Struthio camelus: one gene and its partner. The protein of the gene in region 1 binds, or shares a complex with, the protein of each later gene. Links are inferred from orthologs where the notes say so. Each region holds a gene or a part of one and is shown on either strand. Other genes may lie near its edges.

Evidence for each region.
Region 2: the proteins of ITCH (region 1) and TXNIP are in contact, whole or in part, in a crystal structure (PDB 5CQ2), measured with the Homo sapiens proteins. The link is inferred for Struthio camelus from reciprocal best matches to the Homo sapiens genes ITCH and TXNIP. Residues at the interface, in NP_001244066.1 of Homo sapiens: Glu485, Arg487, Thr489, Tyr495, Val497, Asp498, His499, Arg502, Thr503, Thr504, Thr505, Tyr506, Leu516; in NP_006463.3 of Homo sapiens: Pro328, Glu329, Ala330, Pro331, Pro332, Cys333, Tyr334, Val337, Ile338.

Annotation. Positions count from the first base shown.
Region 1 is NC_090959.1:3,742,966-3,750,866, reverse strand, and holds the start of ITCH (E3 ubiquitin-protein ligase Itchy homolog), read right to left. Parts: upstream 3,089-7,901; 5' UTR 3,001-3,088; intron 1-3,000. UniProt on the Homo sapiens protein: Acts as an Acts as an E3 ubiquitin-protein ligase which accepts ubiquitin from an E2 ubiquitin-conjugating enzyme in the form of a thioester and then directly transfers the ubiquitin to targeted substrates.
Region 2 is NC_090971.1:3,047,399-3,055,448, forward strand, and holds the start of TXNIP (thioredoxin-interacting protein), read left to right. Parts: upstream 1-5,028; 5' UTR 5,029-5,285; coding exon 5,286-5,535; intron 5,536-6,603; coding exon 6,604-6,676; intron 6,677-6,792; coding exon 6,793-6,940; intron 6,941-7,315; coding exon 7,316-7,418; intron 7,419-7,604; coding exon 7,605-7,861; intron 7,862-7,968; coding exon 7,969-8,050. UniProt on the Homo sapiens protein: May act as an oxidative stress mediator by inhibiting thioredoxin activity or by limiting its bioavailability.

The DNA of each region.
Region 1 (7,901 bases):
TCCTTCAGCTACAACAGCTCTGCACTATAATAAGTAAGACCACAGTGCTAGGCACTTACAAAAAATGCTCGAGTCCTTATTGCTTTATTATCTGGATGAGAGTAAATAAAAATCACCTCTCCATCTCTAAAACGTGGGCACAGAATCAGATAATTCAAACTATAGCTAAAGAATGAAAACAAGCAAGTAGATTGCCTAAAACCTTTAAAAATACTCATTTTATGAGCTAGCATAAAGTAAATATCTAGAAAAACAGAATACTCTCGAGCAAGATTATAATCACAGCTTGTCTACTTCCTCTTCTGAGGCAAACACACTCTTCAAAGCACTTCTATAGCTGGGCAAAGCTATATAAATGCTCTCCTCTCAGCTACGCACGCACGTTCCCTCTTCTTAGGTGTAAAGGCACAAAGTAGTTCCTCCTTCTAGATCTAAATAAAGCAGACTGACAAAAATTAGAACATTAAGTAAGCATAACTGGATAGCCAAACAGTGAGGCTTAAAAATAAGTAGCAACAGTGGTAGTACTCGCAGAAGTCTCATCATTATCCTTTACAATGAGTTTTTCTCCTCTAACTTAATATATTATTTTCCTTGTTTTAAAGCAGAGATAAAATTGTTTTCTGCTGCAATATGAAAAGCATTTTACCATGGTTGAATAAGTTTAGAGCTTTGCTTAAACAACTTCAAATTTACAAAATGTTTGTTTGGATGCTATCATCAACAGACATGAACTGGTAAGACTGTTGAGAAGTGATTTAACTATTGGGTATGCCACAAAATAGAAGGATATACATTTATTTTGCAAAACACTGAAGAAGCACATCTAGCTTTAAAGCAGTCCTAAGGACAAGCTTTCTTAAAAACAGTGATAGATGTAACCTCTACAACAGAGAACATTATGCTACTTAACACATATCCTCCTATTACCTCGCTTATTCTGCTGATAGCTTCCCCAAACCTTTTTGAAACTTTTAAACAAATAAACAAGACAGCTTCATATTTCAGGTCTGTTTCACCACAGAAGAAACAGAACTTTACACAGGCAGAGATAAGAGTGAAATAAAAGTGAGGTGATGTTGCTTAAGTAATAAATTCATATAAATAATCTTCTCTCAGTCTCTCTTAAGCACTAAAATAACTGTTTAATCTGTAAGAAGCTTTCAAAGTTAGCACTCAGAAGTCTCAGTGATTTTCCACTGCAACACCATCTTTCACATGTATTGGATCAGTTCTTTGCTTAAAAGATAAGAAAATTCACTTAGGATCAGAATGCTGCATATTATTCCGATGATTGCTTGGAAGTGAATGCATTCAGAGTGGTGATTAAAACTGTCAGTCAAACCACAACTAAGAATGCACACTAGACCAAGTTCAGATTTAAACAGCTGTAGCAAAGAGCAACGTAACTGTAATTAAATCAGAACTGCTTTAGACTTTCACTGTAAGAAGAGAGAACAGAGCCTTAAATTCGTGTTTTCAAACAAGATGCATTTTACAGCATTAAGTTTCTGAGAGCTGATGACAGATTCCGTTTGATGCTTCATTCCTAAACATCTATGCCTTTTTCAGATAGATTCAGTGGCTGGATCTACTGTCATACTGACTATCTTCTCATGAATATCAGTCCAGAATTCTCTGCTTTTCTCTATGAATAGAAGTGACAAGGTAGCAGAGATGGAAGAAAGCAATGAGAAACTCGCCAAAATAAACAATAATATCTTGCGAAAAGATAGTCTAGAAGGCTCTGGTTTCTGATTTCTTCAATTTTAACTAAGCTATAAAGATTAGTTTTGCTGGGGACATTTTCTGAAGCTTGAAGGGTAAAGGAAGTCATACAAATGACAACATACATCCACGTACTCCACTCGTTTTTCTCTCCGCATCACACACACACATCTGAAATTGTCAATTTTGGGTGACAAATTATAGCTATTAAAACAAAAATCCTCGGATTTCAGAGCCAACTAAACAAAGGCAGCCTTTATCTACATAAACCTCTTCTTCTCCTTTTACTTGGCTATTATTGCCACACAAGGTCAAAGACACCCATCTGGAAGTGGGAGGGTTAACAGCCAGAACTTATCAATGTTTCCAAAATAAAACGGTGGCACCAGTGCTGCCAGTCGGCTATGTTTACAAGAAGGAACACAGTTCAGTATAAACCTCCAGCTATGCTCACGCTTTGCCGCTCGGGATCACTACTTTAAGCCACGAGTGTACCTTGAGGAGACAAAGTGAACCCCTGCAAAACGGCGGCGGCAGCAGCAGCCTCACCTAGGCAGGGACCCCAAGAGCAGGGACGGGCTCCTCGGGGAGGGCTGAGCACAAAGGCTGGAGAGAGGGCTGCGGCGCGGAAGCTCTGCCGGAAAGCAAAGCCTCTGACGGGAGCGAGTCCCCAAAGCCCTCAGAGGGCTACAGTGTAGGGACGGATCTCAGCGGCAAGGAAGGCAGGGACTGACCGGGGAGGGGAGCAAACCCGATAGCAGAGAACCGGGGCAAAGCACGCAGTGCTGTGGGAAACGGCCGCCCCGGGCCGGGCTACGGGCAGCGGCCCCACCGCAGCTGGGCCGCGCGGCGCGGGCCGGCAGCGCCGGAGCAGGGCCCGGCCGCAGGCAGCCCTCGCGGCGGAGCGCCGGGGCCCCGGGACCGCCACCCGGTGCCCCGGGCCAGCGACGATGCTGCCGTGCCGTCCCGTGCCGTCCCGCCCCCCGTCGCGAGAGCTGCCTCCGCCGGGGCACGGCGAGGCAGCGCGGCGGCAGGGCAGGGCCCCCCGCAGCGAGGCCGGCTGGGGGCGAGAAGCCCCCCGAGAAGCCAGGCCTACGCCCGCCGGGGCCCCCGCGCCCCGCCGGCTCCGCGCCGAGCTGCGAGCCGGCGAGAGCAGCGGGGCCAAGGCCTCGGCCCGCGCCGCCCCGCGGGGTCCCGTTCCCACCACCGCCGCCGCCTCCTCCTGCGCCCTTGCCGCCTCCCCGCAGGGCGCGGACGTCCCGCTCCCCTCACCGGGCACGGCGGCGTAGCAGCTCCTCCGTCCGTCGGCCAAGATGGCAGCCGGTTCTGACCCAACCTGAGGCAGCGACTTTCCGAAGTCGGGCGGGTCGCGCGCACGCGCGGAGTCGCCCAGGGGCCGCGGCCGCGCGCTGACTACAAGTCCCGGCGTGCGCCGCGCCAGGCGCCGCGCATGCGCGCGTCGGCGTTCCGTTCTGAGGAGGGGAGACGCGGGCGGGAGCGGCTGGAGGCCTCGGGCGGCCGGGGCGGGCGGCACGGAGCCGGCGGGAGCGCGCGGCCGGGGCGGGCGGCACGGAGCCGGCGGGAGCGCGCGGGAGCGCGCGGCCGGGGCGGGCGGCACCGCTCCGCTCCGGTGAGGCTCCGCAAACAGCAGAGACCCTCCACCCGCCTGGGCCTGCTCCCCCTGCCCGCGCCACAGCTGTGCGCGCGCATGAAGACACCTGTGCGGCCGTACAGATACATACGTACTTGAAAAATGCTCGAAAATGTCTAAAAGTCGTGCTGACCACCCTGGGCGCGAGGCTAACGCTAGTCTGAAGTTATACAAGTGCCTTAACGCACTGGGGGCAGCCGTGGCTCTGGGTGGCTCCAGCACACGCCGATTCGGCCGGGCCGCTTGCGATGGCGCGGGCGGGAGCGCTGCGCTGCGTGACCCGAGTGTCCGCGTCCCCCCCCTCCCCGTCAAGCAGCAGCAGGCGCTGTGAGACGTGCCCGCTGCTGACATTTGTCTCATTTAATCTTGGTATAAAAGCCTTTCTTGTTTAAAGTGACTGTTTTTGCACAACTGGAACGCACAATTGCGTAACTGAGCACAGAGAAAGCAGCAAAACGCTTCCTCTTTTAAAAGTGGGATTTGCAAGTTCAGTTCCCCTGCTCCGAAATGAGAGAAAAAGGCTCTTCGTAATTTTCAAAAAGCGGGAGCAGATCCTCACGAATTTTTTAGTAAAACTGCTCACTTTACAAGTGCAAAGGTCGGAGGGGGTTTTTGGTAACTCCTAGGGATCTGAAAAGTCAACTTGTCTTCCCTAGCTTGCACATGAACTCCCTTCGTAAAGATCCCACAGCTAGACTTCAGTTAGCATTTCTACTGGGGAGGGCCTAAGCTGGAAAACAGCTCAGCTTGTTTTCCCTTGGCAGAATAATAATTACCTTTCAATGCCAATTAGCAATCCCCAGTTATGGCAGAGCAAGGTAAACATGCATATGACTTCAAACACAGCAGTCACTTTCATTTCAGCACAGAACCCTCCCTGCTGCTGACTCAGAGTCTGTAAGTACCAAGAAGTCAGAAGAGCGTGGGCATTTGTCAGAAAAATGTACGTCCCTGGGAAGCAGGTTTGAAGACGAGGTTACAACCCGGTATAAGAAGCAAACAAACTGAATGGCTGAAAGAAATGTTGGGAGTTTTTTTTTTTTTTTTTCCAATAGCGTCTTTCCATGCACCTTTAAGTTTTCACATTCCTTTACAGATATTTGACTACACATACGCATACACATATTTACAGTTACTTATTTACAGTGGTCCACTCAAATAATAATAAAAATGAATTTCTGCAAGTATTACACATGTGGAGTTTCTCTCTCATGCATCATCTATTTAAGCAGTCACCTCTCATCCGCTGCTGTGGTACACATCCTTATTGCCGATCTTAGCTGGAGTTCCACATCTGCAGAGCTGGGTTTCCTTTACAGTGTATTTGTTCTGTCCCACAGCTGATATATAACATTGGGCTTGTTTTTGCAGAGTACCTGTAGTTTGATTCCCAAAACTGTAGGAACATGACAACAATAAGCATGTTCCCAGGCATCTGAATTCTTGTTGACATTAGTGGAAGTTTAATGTTTGCAGAAAAAAGCTAAATGCTGCCACAAACACATGTATGTGTGACTCCTATAGACTTCAACAGATGTGCATATATTGCTTGGGCAGCTTGGCCGTTTGCAGTCCCTACTTCTGTTTTGCTAATTTTTAGGTTTCCAAGGTACAGGTTGCTAAAGCAGAGGTAGATTAAATACATCCAGTGGCTCTTTTCAAGGACACCACTCAATTTCCCTCTTTGTAAGAATTTTTTCCTCCTTCTGTAACTGGCATTTCAGAAAAGTGTTACTGTTCAGCCTCGGCAACCCTAATCTTTTTAACCTGCTGATACTCAAATCAAGTTACATTGGTGCTGGCTGCTCTGTAAAAGTAATGAGAAAGAAAACACATTCTAGGTGCACAGACTACCGATTAGTTCATGCTTGCCAGGACAAGATGAACTTAATGCAATCTTTACATTCAGACTCACCCAGAGATCATTTTTTCTGTTAAAAGTCAGGCTCTATCAGTGAACTGGAACATCAAATAATGAATTAACACTAGAACAATGTTGCAAGCACAAACGAATTTAATGGAGCAGCAGAAGAGCTGCATATCTAAGAGTTTACCTATTCTTTCATATGCTCCTTACAATTTCTGCTGCTTTTTACTTATTTGGGGAAAGGAGAAGGCTGATTTTTTTTTTCGCTATACTTGAGGTTTTGATTACTGCAAGATACTGAGACAGAGTGGAATTTTCTTGCTATTCTCTGTCAAAGCTTCGTTTTGACTGCTAAAAACCCCAACAGACTGAGAAAGTTTGCAACAACTGTCAGAATGATCTTGTAAAAAGGAGTTCGGGAAAGCTGTACAAACCTTTTAGCTTTTCACATTTGCTAGACTTGATATGGTCAAACAAAGCTTCTGTGAACTGTTTTCGGAGAGATAATACAGATGGTTGATGATATTTTTTCCCATTCTTTGTCAGTCCTATCTCTTTAGATTTTAAGGTCTCTGGGAGAATGATTATTTCTTGTGGCCTAGCAAAATATATACAGTGCTTTTTTCTCAGTTGGGCCTCTAGATGCTATTGTAAATAATAATATTCAAATCACTAGTGTGGTCTTGACTGTGTTGTTACAGCCATATCTAGCACAGTGGGTTAGTGCTATTGCTGCTTGGAGTTGACTGGGAAACCACTCAGGATGACCGTCTGTATTGTGTAGAGCTGTATGAATCACTTCCATGTCTGAATCTTTCATGTTGTGGTAATAAAAAATACTGCAGTATCACTGAAGTATCGCATTTCTATCAGATTTTTGAACAGGAGTCTGTAAATGGGGATTGCTCTCTCTGATTCCTCAAAGCCTCAGGATCCTTCAGCTAGGGGGCTGGGACTAGACCCCATAACAGAAGCACCGGACCTGCTCTTATTCTCTTATCCTGAGAGTATTGTATCCCATCTCCTAATATGGACTCTGCCTTCATTCACTCTCTTTTTCCACTCCCACCCGACAGGTCCCCGTGGACCTCACAGATGACAAGCCTGTTCTTTCCAAGATTACATAATTTGCTCAAGAATGCACAGCAAGTCACTGGCAGAGTTGGAAAGATAATCCAGATTTCTCAACTCTTTGGCAAGTATTTAATGCTCAATTTTTTATTTTTGTTTTAATGTTAGTTTTAGCACACACAAACCCAGTCACAGAATCACAGAAATACAGAATAATTTAGGGAGGAAGGGGCCTCTATAGGCAATAGGCCAATCTCCTGCTCAGTCTAGGTCCAACTTAGATGATGTTGCTCAGGGCCTTGTCCAGTTGAGACTTAACTATCTCCAAGGAGGGACATCCTACAGACTGTCTGTGCCCCTGGTCCAGTGTTTGACCACCCACATATTGAATATTTTTTTCTTTACATCTAATCAGGAATTTCACTTGTAGGAACTTTTACTTGTTGCCTGTTGTCCTGTCCCTGTGCACTTCCATAAAGAGTCTGGCTCTGTCTTCTCTGCGCCATCCCATCAGGCAGTTGCAGACAGCGGTAAGATCCCCCTTCACCTTCTCTTCTCCAGGCTGAACAGACCCCGCTGGCTCAGCCTTTCCTCCTAAATCCTGTGCTCCAGCCCCAATCATCTCGGTGGCCTCTGTTGGACTCGCAACAGTATGTCAGTGTCTGTCTTATACTGGGGAGCTCAAACTGGACACATCACTGCAGAAGGAATGTTATCACTGCCAAATTCCTGCTGGCTGCATGCTTGCCGGGGATGTGGTTGGCCTTCTTTGCCACAGTGGCGCACTGGACTCCTGCTCAACTTGTTGTCCACCAAGATCCCAGGGCCTCTTATACAGAACTGCTCTAGGCAGTCACCCAGAGCGTGTCCTGCTGCATGGGGTTATTCCCTCCCAGGGCAGGACTGTGCATTTGTCATTGCTGAGTTTCACAAAGTTTTTGTCCACTGTGGGTTAGGATCTCCGTCCACTAATACTAAATAAGTTGATAACATAAAGCCAGTCCTGGTACTGAAGAGACCACAGCGACCATCTGTCCATGGAAACAGTTTATGCTTATCCACCTGGGGACAGACACAGCCCCAAGCAAATATCATACAATGAGTATTGAGTAGTCATCAGATGTCATCAGTAGTCACCAGCATCCATTAGCTGAAGAGCTATTTTAAATCTTTAACAGTAGCTTAACACTTCTACCTGATTGAAGGCTTTGTAAAGCTCATCATTAATAAATGCATGACTATTTCATTTTTCACAGCATTTTTCATTATCAGATTTTAAAGCACTTTATAAACAACTGTAAAGTAAGTCTTCTTTAGAAATAAGTCTTCTACGGTCTTTGTCAGCTAGGTAATTATTCCAGCAAGTGATTAATAATTTAAAATCAGACTTCTTATTTTGAAGTTACCATCTGTAAGAGAATTGTTGTTGTTCTGCCTTGCTATCAGAGTCTGAACTCACGATTTCCCTCATGAAGATAAAAATACCATGTCAGAGTGTGTCTATTTCTAATACCACATCAGAGTGTGTCCATTTCTAATTGCCTTTAAAATCTGAACTGATAACTTTGACTTGAGATATAGAAA
Region 2 (8,050 bases), on another chromosome or scaffold:
AAATGCTCCCATAAAGGTTCCAGCATTTTGCCTGGTTTTCTAGAGATAACAAGCATGTGAGATCAATGAGGGTGCAGGCAGTATGGGAAGGGACTTCCTAGCTCCCGGTTTTAGCCGCCTCACCTGGGTATCTAGATTAGGGACCTTGTTTGGGGTCAGCCTCTCCAGGGGAGATGCCCTTGTACCCCGCAACTGATGGACTCTGAGCCCATTGGCACTGGCTGGAGGCAAGGACAAGGCTGACCATTGCGCTGGGCCCAGGGAAAGCTGCGTGTGGGTTTGCCTTGGCTACTGAAGAGCAAGAAATCTTCCTTCTTCCTTTGCCCCTTCCAGCATCCGTGGGCCCCTGCTGCGGTCTTTCAAGGGACAGCTGGAGGGAGTGGGGAACGAAGGTCAGGAAATCTTTGGCTATAAAATACTGTTTCCTCTGTTAATAACATCTGACCAACACCAAAAGACAAAGAGGACCAGGTGGATCAGTTTTGCACAGTGACAAGTTGGAGACTTTTTCTTAAAAGAGGGCATAGGGCGAGGGAGCAGAGCGCGGCCACGCAGCCACTGCCGAACACCAGAAGAGGACAGGCTCTCCCAGCCTGAGCAAGGAGGCAGCTGGTGCGACTGAGTCTTACTGCCCAGAGCACGTGAAAGACATGGGACTTCCCAGAGTCGGCACTCAAATTCCTCCTTGTTTGTGGACGGCTGAATTCGGTCTCAGGCACAGGCTGCTGACGCTCGGCTCTGGCTTTCTCCTCCTTATTGCAAAATCGCAGTCTGGCAAGAGTAACAGTGAAGACATCCCACCGCAGCAAAAAAAAAAAAAAAACATCCGCTGAAAAGAATTTTTTTCACATCGCACTCCTGGCAAGAGCTGGAAACCTGGGACCCTGAGGAAAGTCCTCACACCGGATCCCTGAGGGGCCTTCTCCCCATTTAGCTGGGAAGGGGAAGGAGAAAAGGGGATCTCAAGCTGTGACACATATGCCATAAGGCATTTCAACACGGTACATAGCCTACACAGCACCAGGAATTACTGCCAGTGGTGACACAAGCCATTGCTGTTGCCCATGGACAAACCCAGCAAAAAGTTGCTTTGGGAAACCTGCGATGGGGATCTGCCCTGTGTGACCTGAGAGCTTTCAAGATCATTTCATGTAGGTCCCTGCAGAGCTGTTTTACAGTACCCCAGCAGGGTTGTGCCGCCGTGTCTCAAAATTAGGCACTGCAAGCCTTAATGGCTTCATCAAAACTTTCATTTTATTCAGAAACTCAAAGTGAATCGCTCCCCTCGCTTCCCTGCTTCCGTGTTTCTGCCAAATTTCAAGCTTGGACCACTGCAGGCAGCCCTTTACGCTGTCAAAGTAGTACTGAAGTCAGCCACAGTCAAACTTGAGCAGCGAGAAGATAAGGGTGGGATAGAGGTGGCTTTCCAGGAGTCACAGGAGTCCCTTGGTCCCTTGTTTTCCAGCTGCAGGGACACACACCCAGCACAATCAGCGTGGGATTGTCAAGTGCTGCTCGCTGTACATACATAGGCCAATTCTCCATCCCAAGCCTCAGCTAATCCCTTCCCACCCTGGCCAAAGGAAATGCCTTTTCCGCCCCAGCTCTCGTTCCCGTTCGCACGACAGGCACACTCTGTCCCTTTGCTCCGGCCATTGGGAATCCCTTCACGTCCCTCTCTTCCCCTCCCCGCCTCGAATTTGCTGGAAGCAACCATATATGGTGAAAAATGGAGAAAACGGCACCAGGAAGCTACTGGAAGCTCTGCACAAGGCAGCAGCCTCTGGGCAGCCAGGCAGCAAACTCTCGCAGTGCTTTTCAGAGGCGGGAGCCAGTTATCTAGGCTGAGATGATAGACGGGGCAAAGGATGGCTGGCGACAAGAGGAGCGTGATTGCTCCAGGCAACAGCAGCCAGGGACTCCTGGTAACCAAGACCAGGAAATAAAGGCTTTTATGAGTGCTCTTGTGCATCAGGGTTGTGTTACAGGCACGATTCAGATCGATCATGGGCAGGGGGGCAGTTTTCAGCAAAAACCTTACGTTGCTGGTATGGAGCGTGATTTGTGCTGCCCAGTTTCTGCCTCACCTAATCGCTTCCCCATGACCCACTCAACAGCCCCTGCTGTCAGTGAGTCATCTCAGGGCATGGTTTCTAACTCGGCCCTTCCCTGCTCTTCAGGGTTGGGTTATCCCCGACACATCCAGTTAGTCATGCAACTCTCCCTTCCGTCACTAGCCCATGGCCAGCGAGGAGAAGGCTCTGGGCCGCTCTCCCCATCCGCCTGGATGGCACTGGCCCCAGGGCTGACTTTTCCCCTTCCTTGTGTCCACCACCAAGGCTGGAGGGATCCTCCAAGCAACATGTTGCCAGGGGAAAACAAGCTGAGGGGGGGACCGAGGCCTTAAAAAAATTGCTTAGGAGAAGGGAGGAAGCGCCCAAGAGCTGGTCTCTGCCCAAAACCATAACCGGCTTCTCTTTGATATCATTCTTTTTAAAGAGACGTGACATTTTGAAGCTTTTGTTTTACAGGCTAAAATTCCTCTGCGTTTCCAAGTCCCTTGCTTAATCCAGGGTGCTGCTTGCGTGGGAAACCTTGTGAACCGAGTCTCATCCTGAGGAAGTTGCAGCTGCTCCTCCTTCAGTGGAGAGACCACAGAGGCCTTTCCAGTCAGATGGAGGTCAGGGGAGCAAAGGGCAGAAGCTGATGGACAGATAAAAAGAAACTTGGAGAGGATCCAGGCTTTGAAACGTGCCTTGGACCATATCTCTGGCAAGCCGAGGACTTCATCGCCCTTTGACATCGCTGGAATGCATTTGACAGTTGGGGAGAAAGCCACCATGGGCTGGAAGAGCCAGGTTGGAGACCTCTTTCTTGGGAGACCTGCACCGAGGGAAACCAGAGACGGGGAGCGCAAACACGGATCCCAAAGGAACGCAAGGGTGCGAGCGGGCCAAGAACCAAATTGAGGTCTTTGGGATCGCGTATCCCATAGCTGGCAAGGCTGCAAAGAGAGCTCGGCTCGTTTCGCCAAATTAGAGCAAATCCGTAATTCTTGTGAGCCCGGGGACCTTCTCCCTAGCAAGGGACAACGGGGAGAGCTTGTCAGGACCAGACCTGCAGCAGGAAAAGGCGCACGTCCTCCATTGCGCACCTCACTGCAAAAGAGTTCTCTAGCAGCGAGGAAATTTGTCCTGCAGTTTGGCAGGCGATCAGCTTACACCCCGCAAGTTTATCTGACCATTTTTATCAGTTTATGCTAACAGGTGTGAATTAACTTTGAGGGACGGAGAGGAGGGCAAAGAAATAAAAGCACGGCGCGCGGCAGAAAGGCACGGACAAACAAGCGCCATATCAGAGGGCAAAGGACAACCGAGACAACACCGAACAAAAACACATCCCTTTCCTCGGCGGGGGGGAAGGAAGGTCTTTAGAGTCCCCCCCCACCCCACACACACACCCTGTTTCCACTCCTGCCTTTTTATGGCTCATTTAGTGGCTCCAGAAATATTACCCTCCCGTTTCCTCCCCTCTCCATGCCTGCTTTCCTGAACTGCGAAAGCATTAATCGCTCTTAAAACCCATGACAAAACAGCCTGTCGGGGAGGAACGTGTGTGCTCAGCACGACCACGCACAAATTACAATTCAAGGGTTTCTCCCAGTTAAAAGCCCCACGGGGCAGCGACACGGGTGATACGGTGTCACCCGCTCCCCAAATCCCTGCCGGGGGTATGGGGGCAAGGAGCGGGGGGTCTGCCCTTGACACGGCTCGAAACATCCCGAAGCGGAGTGGGGGGGGGGGACACGAAAGAGGGTGTAAGATGTCCCCTTTTGGCAGATGACGGTCCGATGAGTAATTCTGCTAAAACTCCTGGTGGGGAGGGGGACGTGGCTGCCCCGGGGGGGTGTCACTGGGGGTTTGGGGGGTGGGGGCCACCCTGGAGGGATGGAGATGGACTGAGAGGTGTCCCCCCCCCCACAGGGTGAGGCTTTCTCTTCTCTACCCCAATCCTGCCCTAATTCGCCCCAAATTACAGTGGGGGGAAGCAGAAGGGGGGCTGTGGAAACGCCACAGCTCACTGGGGGTTTGGGGGGGGGGGTCACAGACAGCAGCGGGGGTGGGGGCCACCCTGGAGGGATGGGGACAGACTGAGAGGTTCCTCCCCCCCCCCCCCAGGGTGAGGCTTTCTCTTCCCTTCCCCAATCCTGCCCTTATTCGCCCCAAATTACGGTGGGGGGAAGCAGAAGGGGGGCTGTGGAAACGCTGCAACTCACCGGGGCTTTGGGGGGGTGGGGGCCACCCTGGAGGGATGGGGACGGACTGAGAGGTTCCCCCCCCCACAGGGAGAGGCTTTCTCTTCCTTACCCCAATCCTGCCCTTATTCGCCCCAAATTACGGTGGGGGGAAGCAGAGGGGGGCTGTGGAAACGCCGCAACTGCCTGACGGGGGGGGGGTGTGGAAATGCCCCCAAACAGAGCTGGGGGGGGGGAAACACCCTCAGTGGGGTGAGGGGAGCCCCAGAGCCCTGTGAGGACCGCCCCAGTTCAACCAGTACCAGAGAGCCCGTCACAGTACGGCTCGTCCTGGCCGCTGCCCCCGAGCCCGCGCATCATGAGGGGGGGCTCAACCCCCCCCCCTCCCGCCCTGCCGTCCCCACAAGGAACATTACATCCTGTTCCCCGCTCACCACTGGCTCCCGCCTCCCCCGTCCTCGCTCGCCATTGGCCAGCCGCGCCGTCACTCCGTCCCCTCTCCCACTCTTGCACCCTTCCATTCTCCCGCCCTCCTGCCTGCTTCTCCGCCGCACACGCTCTCCTCTCCTTCACAAGCTGTCCACGCTCCGCACCCGGCGCGCCGATTGGCCGGCGGGGGTGTAAACAACGCGGCGGCGACCAATGGGAGCGCTGATCACGCGAGCAGCACGCTTGGCCATGCGCCCTCGGCGTGGCGCTCTTGTCATCAACAAGTGCGGGAGGGGGGAGGGCGGGGAGGCGGAGGCTATAAAAGGCCGCGTCCGGCGGGGGCCGGGCTCACACCGTTGAGGGCCGAGAGCGGAGCGGCGGGCTGCAGCAGGCGGAGGCAGCGCATCCCTTCTGCCCCACAGCTGCTAGGGAGGAAAAGGTTGACCTTTAGACTAAATTCTGACTAAAAATCAACCTTCCCGAGGTATTTTTTCCCCTCGGTTGTTGCCGTTGAGGGGGGGAAAAAAAAGCACAAAAACTGCCCAGCGTGCGCAGCTCCTTGCCTCGTCCTCAAGAGCGTCTCCCACCCTTCACCTCAGCCATGGTGATGTTCAAGAAAGTCAAGACCTTCCTCGTGGCTTTCAGCGAGCCTGAGAAGGTCTACTGCAGTGGGGAGAAGGTGGCAGGGCGCGTGGTGGTGGAGGTGGCTGAGGTCACCCGCGTCAGCGCCGTCAAAGTGCTGGCCTGCGGCGTGGCCAAAGTCAACTGGGCCAAGGGCCCCCAGCAGTGCAAGCAGGAGATGGAGTACCTGCGCTTCGAGGACGTGCTCACCCTGGAGGAGCAGCCCACTGGTGAGGACCTGGGGCTGGGAAAGGAGGGGTTGGGGGCAAAAGGTGGTGGGGAGCGGGCGGGGAGTGGGTTGGAAGTAATCACCAGCTTTGCCTGCTGGTTGTTGCCCTTCCGCAAGGGGCTGGGTTGAGTCTCCTGGTTGTGCCCGCATTGACGGGGCTAAAGCAGAAATGCTACTTTGAAGAGTTGGCATATTTGGCTGGTGAAAGGAAAAGGGAATTTAATGTTGGCCAAGTGAACTGGTTGAACCCTTGGAAACGGATGAAGGGCAAAACAGGACTCAGCTAGGCTGCAGGTTAGAGTTGGAAAACTTAGGGCTGCTGTGCTCTATCCGGAGCCCGAAACAAAAGTGAGATGGGGTGCTTGTCGGAGCGTACAAAAGACGTTAGGCATTGATGCGGCTGGCTTGGCTTGCCCAACAGGCAGTGATGCTCTGTGCCTGCAGGGAACGAGTACTGAGATTGGCTTTGGCCGGATGTCACTGTGGCAGGAGGTGCCTCTGAGTTCAGTACAGTGGCTGGTACAGTGCACGGGACAGGTGGTCAGAGAGCGGCAAGTCCAGATCTTGTCTGAGCCAAAGAGTCTCAGTCCCTTCCCTGCCTTTATCGCCCTCCCTGTTTGGCTGGCTCTGGGGAAGGCAGAGATAAGCACTTGGCAGGGTGTCTTGGAAGATAAGTGGGGAGACGTGAAATCCTCAAGGTAAACAGATAGTTGGGGAAAGAAGTTAGTACTTTGTACTCCCAGAAAGTGGAAGTAGGATGCGGTAACCAGAGGTAACAGGGTCTGAACTAAAGCCAATCAGGACTTTGTGCCCTGGTTTCAAATGAGGATGTTGAAAGAAGAAGTGAAAGTGTAGTTTAGCAGTACTTCCCTGCCCTGCGAGGACACCAGGTTCTCAGCCTGTTCTTAGGGAACAGGTGTGGGTGGCGCTTACCAAAGAACTAATAGAGCTCTTAATGCCTGCAACACCCGGACTTCATCATAGCCTGTGTAAGCAGAACAGTGGATAATGCTTAGAGCAATACTGCTGGACTTTACCTAATATCTCTCTTCTCCTTTTCTTTTCTCAGATGGGGATGGCTCTGTAATCCTGAGACCTGGAAACAAATATGAATACAAATTTGGATTCGAGCTTCCCCAAGGGTAGGTATTAGACCAGCATTGTCTGAACAAAGTAAAAAAAAAAAGCCTAACCTTAAATTCCTATGGAAAACTGTCTTGTTAGCTCCAATGTGTCTAACAAGTGTGTCTTTTCATAGGCCTCTGGGTACCACCTTCAAGGGAAAGTATGGCTGCGTGGATTATTGGGTGAAGGCTTTCTTGGAGCGCCCATCCTTTCCCACTCAGGAGATAAAGCAGCGCTTTGAGGTTATGGATCCTGTTGATGTGAACACTCCAGAATTACTGGTAAGTGCCAGTTTGTTTTGCCACCTCTGAGAGGTTTGGGTGTCAGTTAGCATTAAGGGATACAAAGGTCCTTAGGTAGGGTCAGTCTGACCTCTGTGGTTAAGACTCCCCCTAATAGGCTTTACTCTTCAGCACAGATTAAATACTTAGTTCTGAAGAACTCTCTAGAAGGCTACACTGAGGCAGGTAGAAGTGAGGCACTGGTTCTGCATTCAGTTAACTGAAAGACACTCAGTCCTCATGGGGAGTGGCAGCGTGAATTTGAGGAAGCTTGAATCACAAAACAGGAGAAGGTGAAGCTCAGGGCTGGAGAGGAGGAATGGGTTGGGAACACCGGGCAGGTTTCATCTGGGTAACGATCTTATTTCTTTTCAGTCTCCAGTTGCTGCCAAGAAGGAGAAGAAGGTGTCCTGTATGTTCATTCCTGATGGCCACGTGTCAGTCAGCGCCCAAATTGACAGAAAGGGATTTTGTGAAGGTAAGAGCCTGTCTCCCCCCCTTAGAAAAGGGAAGGAGCGGGAGCAAAGGGTGAAGGGACAAGCAGTACCTGAGCAAAGGGGCAGTAGTCAGGGGATGTTTAACTAGAAGATCAGTGAAAAACAACAAATACACTTCAAGGAAAAAGTTCTGACCTTCCTAATGCAGAACATCATTCCCTCCTCAGGTGATGAGATCTGCATCAATGCAGACTTTGAGAACACTTGCTCCCGGATTGTGGTGCCCAAAGCAGCCATCATTGCCAAGCACACCTACCTGGCCAATGGGCAGACCAAGGTGTTCACCCAGAAACTCACCTGTGTCCGAGGCAACCACATCATCTCAGGCATGTCCGAGTCCTGGCGAGGCAAAACCATCCGTGTCAAGAAGCTCAAGCCGTCTATCTTGGGCTGCAACATCTTGCGCGTGGAGTATTTCCTGCAGGTGAGTGTCTCTGATGGCTGCTATTGCTCCTCTCATGGTTAGTGGGTAAGCTTTGTCTACGGTTGGTTTCTGTCGTTGCTAACGGCATTCTGGTCTGTACCTTGCAGATCTATGTCAGTGTCCCAGGCTCCAAGAAGATCATCCTGGAACTGCCCCTTGTCATTGGCAGCCGGTCAGGCATTGGTAGCC